2 linked regions of the Macaca fascicularis genome follow. The protein of the gene in region 1 interacts with the protein of each later gene in a biochemical or structural test. Links are inferred from orthologs where the notes say so. Each region holds a gene or a part of one and is shown in the gene's direction. Other genes may lie near its edges. The genes, in order: TNFRSF8 and TNFSF8.

What was found.
Region 2: the proteins of TNFRSF8 (region 1) and TNFSF8 form a complex in vitro, tested with the Homo sapiens proteins (2 studies listed by BioGRID and IntAct). The link is inferred for Macaca fascicularis from reciprocal best matches to the Homo sapiens genes TNFRSF8 and TNFSF8.

Annotation. Positions count from the first base shown.
Region 1 is NC_088375.1:222,668,058-222,671,871, reverse strand, and holds part of TNFRSF8 (tumor necrosis factor receptor superfamily member 8), read left to right. Parts: intron 1-1,158; coding exon 1,159-1,260; intron 1,261-1,390; coding exon 1,391-1,444; intron 1,445-3,814. UniProt on the Homo sapiens protein: Receptor for TNFSF8/CD30L. May play a role in the regulation of cellular growth and transformation of activated lymphoblasts. Regulates gene expression through activation of NF-kappa-B.
Region 2 is NC_088389.1:43,181,710-43,185,523, forward strand, and holds part of TNFSF8 (tumor necrosis factor ligand superfamily member 8), read left to right. Parts: intron 1-947; coding exon 948-1,342; 3' UTR 1,343-3,814.

The DNA of each region.
Region 1 (3,814 bases):
CAGTGAGCCGAGATCGCACCACTGCACTCCAGCCTGAGCGACAGACTGAGAATCCGTCTCAAAAAACCAAAAACCAAAAAACAAAAAACAAAAAACCCCAAGAGTTAGCGCTTATGGAATGATGCCAGGCTACTCATTTTAGGACTTGCAGTTCTAGTGGCTGACACGAGGTGGCAGTAGTGCTCAGGCCAGTGTTTCTGAAAATACGGTCCTGTCTGGCAACATTGGCACCAGCTGGGAACTTGTTAGGAAAGCAAATTGTGGGTTCCATCCCAGACCTAGAGAATCAGAAACTGCACTTTAACAAGATCTCCGGGGCACTCATACGCACATTAACATTTGAGAAGCACTTAACTGGCATATACTACTTTTTTAACATCTGAACATGGACTTCAATAAAGTGCAATCACTAGCTCTATGACCTCTGTAAGGGACAAAAGGGGAAAAGGAAGCGAGTTCAGTACCATGGTGTAAAGAAGTGGATCCAGATAGGGGTTAAGAGCGTGGGTCCTGGAGTCCACCCGGCCTGGCATGGCCTGGGCTGGGGCTCTACCACTTACTCTCAGGGTGACCTTGGACAGGTTAACGAACTTTCGTGAGCCTTGGCTCCCCTCATTTTTAAACTGAAGGTAGTGATGGTGCCTAGGGCCTAGGGTTGGGGATCATTCATTCAGGGAATGCTTGTGGGGCGTGTTTATGTGCAGAGAGGACTCCATGCCTGCCCTCATCAAGTGGGTCTAGAGGGTTGGCTGGGAGGGGACTGGGTTCAACCCCTTCCTTCCCCTCACTGCTTGGCCCTCCCCACCCTGACTCCGGCCACACCAACAGTGCTGCCAGATGCTGGTCACACCGGGGCCTCCTCCACAGTCCCCAAGTTTTGGTCTGTTGGACCTCAATTCCTTTGTTCTGGCTCCTAGACGCCTCCATTTCTCACCCTCTAGACACAGTTTGCCCTTATCTCAGCCTTAAATAGTTAATCAGCTTCCTGGAGCCAGGTGAGGGAGGGCTGGATGAGATACAGCCTTGGCTTGGAAAGGACGCGGTGTTGTTAGCCATGATGGAAGCTGTGTCCCAGGAGAAGGAGGAAGTAGTCTGGGGCTGGGGCTGTCCTGTGTGGTTGCAGTGAGGCAAAGAGTGCGGGGTGCCTCTGTGTTCCAGGGCCAGTGCTCTTCTGGGTGATCCTGGTGCTGGCTGTGGTGGTCGGCTCCAGCACCTTCCTCCTGTGCCACCGGAGGGCCTGCAGGAAGCGAATTCGCCAGAGTAAGTGGCTGTGTCCTTGGGGCCTTGGGGAGGACAGGTTGCTCTCTGCCAGCCTGGCCTGGGTCCTTTCCCTGCCTGCTCCTGCCCTCTGTGGCCACCATCCCCAGCCTTCCTCTTGGTGTCGTTTCAGAGCTCCACCTGTGCTACCCGGTCCAGACCTCGCGGCCCAAGCTAGAGCTTGTGGGTGAGTGTCCAGCTGTCCAAAGGGGCTGCCCGAGCCAGAGGAACACAGGGCAGCTCTAGGCCCGGGGCGTGGGCTCCAGAGACTGAACTTCTAGCCCAGCCTCGAGGCTCCCTGTCTGTGGCTGCTGTGGCATTCTGTACATCTGTAGGGATGTAATGCGGGTGAAACTCATGCGTGTGGAGAATGCAATGAGGTGAAGACTGGACTGGGTGTGAGGACTGCGTGGCTTGCCCAGAGCAGCACCTGGATGGATGCTGGCATGAACGTTTAAAAGTCTATCTTGTCTTTCACTTTTTCCTCCAGTATCCCCAGGGGGTATTCCCGCCAGCCTTCCCTTCCTCTCTACATTCTACCCTCCCTTTCTCCCTCTCCCTCCTTCCCTTTCTCTTTCCCCTCTCTCCCCCTCTTCTACCAGCTGGTGATCAGCCCAGGGGCAGGAGGGGAAAGGAGCACATGTGGCAGGAGGGACCCTGGTTCTGCCACTTACAAGCTGTGTGACCCCGCGTGAGTTACTGAATTGCTCTGTGTCTCAGTTTCCTCATCTGGAAAATGTGATGGTAGAACCTACTTCAGAGGTTTGGCCTGTGCATTCATCAAGGCCGGGCTGTGAAGCGCATCGTGGAGTACCTGCCTGCGGTCGGCGGCTGCTGCCTGTTGACAGGCCGGCCTGTGTCTGGGGCTTTTTCCTCCCTGGAAGCTTCAGGCCTTCTGGAGTCCTGGGTGCTTCTGACCCCCCTCCCTGGTCCCTGCACTCTGATCCCTGCCCAGCCTCCGGGCCAGCTCTTCCAGGCAGCCCTTGGGAGCTGGGACCCTCCTCACCTGTCCAGGCGGGGGCATCTAGACAGCATGTGTCTTCCAGCTCTCACCTGGAGCAGTGGGCTCCTAGCCATCTTGTGCCGAGCACCTTCTCTCTCCTGGGCAGCCCCTTCCAGGCAGGCCAGGGTCTTCCTCAGCACCGCATGGCATGGATTGAGTGCTGGGCTCTGATGGGGGAATTGTCTGAGCCTTCCTTTCTGATTTGCAAGGTGGGCTCCCATAGAGGCCTCCTGCACTCCCCCAGTGATGACCTTTGTTCTGCAAGGAGGAGACGGGGCTCAGCGAGGTGGACGGCTGGCCCAGGGCTACACAGCCTGGCAGTGGCACAGCCAGCCTCAGGCACCGGTCCTAGGGGTTTTGGTTTGTAAAGGGCTCAGCCCTGTCCCCTCTTCCTTCCCCCCGCCAGCTCTGTCCACCACCCGAATGCCCACCCAAGAGCCACGTGCTCAGCGTAAGACCAGGTCCTGGCCCGTCCCCCGATCTCCCCAGGACCCTTGGAGAGGCCCTTGCGTAGGCTGACTCTTGACTTGGGCACAAAAACACAGTCCACTGAGGCATGTTTTGAATTTGATGAGTTTCACAAGCGAGCGCTTGTGGTCCCTGTGCCAGGGGGGGTTTTTGTGTTTTGATAGTTTCAAGCCTGTTTCCATGACCTGTCAGGCTGCGTGTCTCATTGAAACCGGCATTTGCTTTCTTGACATTTTTCTAGTATTAGAATTTCCATTGCCGTCAGTTTATTTTTTTTCTTCAAACCTCTGTGAGAGCAGTTTTGTTACAAGAAGAAAAAAAGAAAGAAAACACCTTCCCCTAAGAAGCCAGATCTGCAAAGAACTGAGCCCCGAGACTCGATGGTGGACGTCCTATCTCATTTTTGACCCTCTGGCTTCTTCTGGTGGGCCCTTGGGGTCTGGGTTCCCAGGCCCAAGATGGACAGAAAGTGAAGCCGAGACAGGCAAGCTCACAGGGCACAGGGTGAGAACGGACCGAGCTGGCTGTATGCCCATTTCCCTCCCGAGCCGTGGGTGGCGAAGGAGGGAAGGAGAACTGGTTCATTGGTTCATTCGTTCATCTATTCACATGGTCTTCACTGTGCACTTCCTCCGTGCAGGCTCTGTGCCGGGCCCAGAAGCTGTCCTAGCTCCCTCCAAGCTTTTAGACTAATTCCAACTGCCTGCAGAGGCCAAAGGCAGGCAGGATGGGAGCGTGTGCCCCTTGGCCTCCCACATCCCAGACCTGGGGCAGAGGGTGCTCCTGGTTCCTTTGAGCAGTGAGCGCATCAGGGATCTGTGGTGCGTGCAGGTGCGATGAGATACTTGCCAACCAGCCCTCGAGTTGATCTGACCTTCCCGCGTGTGTCCTCGGTGACAGGCATTTGCAGAGCGCACACGTGATCTCATCTACTCCTCCAGTGGCCTGTGAGGTACCTACTGTTATCCCCGTTGCACAGATTAGCAGCCTGAGGCACAGGATGATGAAGTAATTTAAGGCCACACGCTGGGTGAGCAGGAGGACGGGGATTTTATTGTGGTTGTTGAGATATTTGTAAAACAATTT
Region 2 (3,814 bases), on another chromosome or scaffold:
TGAGAGAGAGATGGCCAAGATTCTCTGAATAGCCATCCTGCTCATTTTAAAAATTCAATTTTGTAGTTAGATTAGTTCTCACTCTTCGGTTGAATTGCAACAAGGTTTAAAGGGAAAGCATGGAAGCAATTAAAACTAGCATGCCAGCTTCCCGGCCCTGAAAGTCACCCTTACCAGTCAGTGCTAATTTTCATGTGTTAGGACTTGGAGACTCACCCTCCAACACAAACTTGTCAGTTTAGAGGGTCTGCTAATTCTCTGCTTTTCAATAAATCCCAGATGGCAAGAGCCCCTTAATAGGCACATGGGGGACCTACACGATTATTTTTGGCTGCTCTTTGAAGGAAAGAAGGCATTCAAAAATTCAGACAATGAACCATTAGAGGATACATCTTAATGTGAAAATTCATGGCGATTCTCCTGGAAATCTTCATACCTAAATTAGTTATTAACTGAATCATATTATTGAATGTCTTACCTTGCACTTTCTACAATGCCTATCAAACTCAATATTATTGAATTTCCTATCTCTGATACCTTCTGCAATGCCCATTCATGATAAATGAACAGGATAGTTCCGACTTTGTGGAGAACAGAGTCCAGGAGCTTATATTCTGAAAAGGGAAAGATCATCATCATCATCATAGAATAGTATAATATGATAATGATTCCATGGAAAACCATTCTATAGGAGGTAGAAGTAAAGTATCATGTGTGTTCTGACCCTCCAGCTTTGAGTGTTGAAGAAAAGGAAGTGGGGTGGTTTTATACCTGTGCCTTGAGTAGTAAGTAGACTCTAGAGGGAGTAACATGGAAGATATTCAGATGATTGGAACATTACAGAAAACATGGGTCTTGAATGGGAAACTTTGAATAAAGACTTAGAGTTTTGCAATGCATACCTACAATCTTCTCAATAATTCTGTTTTCTGTACTTCTCTTTCTAGTGGCAAAGCATCTAAACAAAACCAAATTGTCTTGGAACAAAGATGGCATTCTCCATGGAGTCAGATATCAGGATGGGAATCTGGTGATCCAGTTCCCTGGTTTGTACTTCATCATTTGCCAACTGCAGTTTCTCGTACAATGCCCAAATAATTCTGTCGATCTGAAGTTGGAGCTTCTCATCAACAAGCATATCAAAAAACAGGCCCTGGTGACAGTGTGTGAGTCTGGAATGCAAACCAAACACGTGTACCAGAATCTCTCTCAATTCTTGCTGGATTACCTGCAGGTCAACACCACCGTATCAGTCAATGTGGATACATTCCAGTACATAGATACAAGCACTTTTCCTCTTGAGAATGTGTTGTCCGTGTTCTTATACAGTAATTCAGACTGAACAGTTTCTCTTGGCCTTCAGGAAGAAAGCGCCTCTCTACCATACAGTATTTCATCCCTCCAAACACTTGGGCAAAAAGAAAACTTTAGACCAAGACAAACTGCACAGGGTATTAAATAGTATACCTTGCCTTCTGTCTCTTGGAAAGATATAGCTCCAGGGTTAAAAAGAGAGTTCTGAGTGAAGTATCTTTCAGATAGCAGGCAGGGAAGCAATGTAGTGTGGTGGGCAGAGCCCCACATGGGAATCAGAAGGGATGAATGGATGTCCCAGCCCAACCACTAATTCACTGTATGGTCTTGATCTATTTCTTCTGTTTTGAGAGCCTCCAGATAAAATGGGGCTCCAGTATCAGAGCAGCTAGCAACTCTGCCCTAATGGGAAATGAAGGGGAGCTGGGTGTGAGTGTTTACACTGTGCCCTTCATGGGATACTTCTTTTATCTGCAGATGGCCTAATGCTTAGTTGTCCACGTTGCGATCAAGGACTCTTTCACACAGGAAACTTCCCTATACTGGCAGATACCCTTGTGACTGAACCATGCCCAGTTTATGCCTATCTGACTATCACTTTGGGACTGGGAAGCTGACCTTGTGCTCCACATGACCCTGCCCCTAGGAACCCCCAGGGAAAACCAGGCCTGGGACAGCCCCCCATTCCTGAGATGGAAAGCACAAATTTAATACACCATCACAATGGAAAACAAGTTTGAAGACTTTTACTTACAGATCCTGGACAGAAAGGGCATAATGAGTCTGAAGGGCAGTCCTCCTTCTCTGGGTTACATGAGACAGGAATGAGAAGTCAGAGAGAGAGAGCAAGGGAGTTACCAATGTAGGTAAATAAATAGGGTGTGGTCACTCTCAATTCACTGGCAAATGCCTGAATGGTCTGAAGGAAGTAACAGAAAAGTGGGGAATCCAGTCTGCTAGGGAGGAGAGATGCCTCTAGTTCTTGTCTTGGCTAGAGGTCTGGTATAGAACTGGAAACCCATATCAAGGGTGACTAAGCCCAGCTTCTGGTATGAGAAAATTAAACTTGTATACAAAATGGTTGCCAAGGCAACAAAAATTATAAGAATTCACTATACCTTCCCCTCCCTGGAACTCAGGATCCAAGTCTAGAAAATGAAAGGAATGGGTTTGAATTGCTTCAAAACCTCTTCCATCTCAGAAGAGCAGCCCCTGGGAACTGAGATTCTGACACAATTTTGGAAGCTCTTCAACCAAGATAAGGCCACCCTACCCCAGTATACAATTGAAGACACTAGTAGCACCTGACTGCATCTCATCTCAGCAAAGCCAGAATATGGGAACAAAGTTCAGGGTGCCCTGCTGAATGGTGTCAACAGCAGGATCTCAAGGATGTAATGGAAAGAACTACCATGCTGACCATCCAGAATCTAAGAGACCATCTGGGTGTTTGGGAAACCATCTGACGAGGCCTGACTCTATTCCAGTTAGGCTGACAATAATTGAGCAGCAGGCATTTTTCATTTCTGGTCAGGATAGCGTTGTGCCTTTAGCAAACAATCAGTGTGCAACAGCCGGGGAATGGCTGCTGCATCTCCTGCAGATTATATTCCTGCTTCAAACACCTCTCAGAAAACCAGTTCCGTGAGGGTTTTTAAATCCCCACAAAGTTGTTGACAGATAATGATGACCCTGGAATTGGGGAGGAGGACTTCTGAGAAACAGCAACCTCTCTCCTGATTGGGGTAGCCATGAGATTTCTCCAGCTATATCCAACTTGGCATCTGTACATCATCTTTGGAGGAACATCTTATTCATGGAAGGACCTTGACAAGCCGTTTGAGATGGAATGTAGGCCCTGAGGTTATGCTTCAGTAAAAAAAAGATGGAAGCTTCCCTGCTATACTAAAACATGGAGCAAAATTCGCATTTTTCTCAAGAAGGAGAGAAAAGGAGTAGGACTCCAGCAAAGTTTGTCAGAAGAAAAGCTAGAAAAGATTTACAAGAAAGAAAGAAAGAACAAATCAGCAGCGGTGTTATGGATGAGAGGGACTTGAGAGAACAAAAATGGCTAAGGGAAAAATTTAAGTCATCTGCTGAGCAGTGTGCTATGTCAACCTCCTCCTAGGTCTCCTCTTTGAAATATTCAGTAAAGTCTACATTTCTCTTTAACTCTTTCTGTGAGTAGATTCTTTGGGAGAAGCAGGCATTGGAAGAGGTGTTGAATTCAGCAAGCCAAGTGGTCTGTGGTAAAAAACAGACATTGAGACTCAAAGCTAAGAAAAACAGGGAAACGGCTGGCATTTGAGTTACACACTAACTGCGTAGGACAAGTGAATCTTGCTTAAACAACTCATGCATTCTTGAAAAGGTATATGCAACCCAACTGTGTGTTAACGAAGCAAATTTTCTGCCATCTCACATTCTAACTCGAGAAAGATTGCATTTTCATTTTTCACCAACTGTTCTCTAAGCAGAGGTCTCTGACTTTTGCACTGTG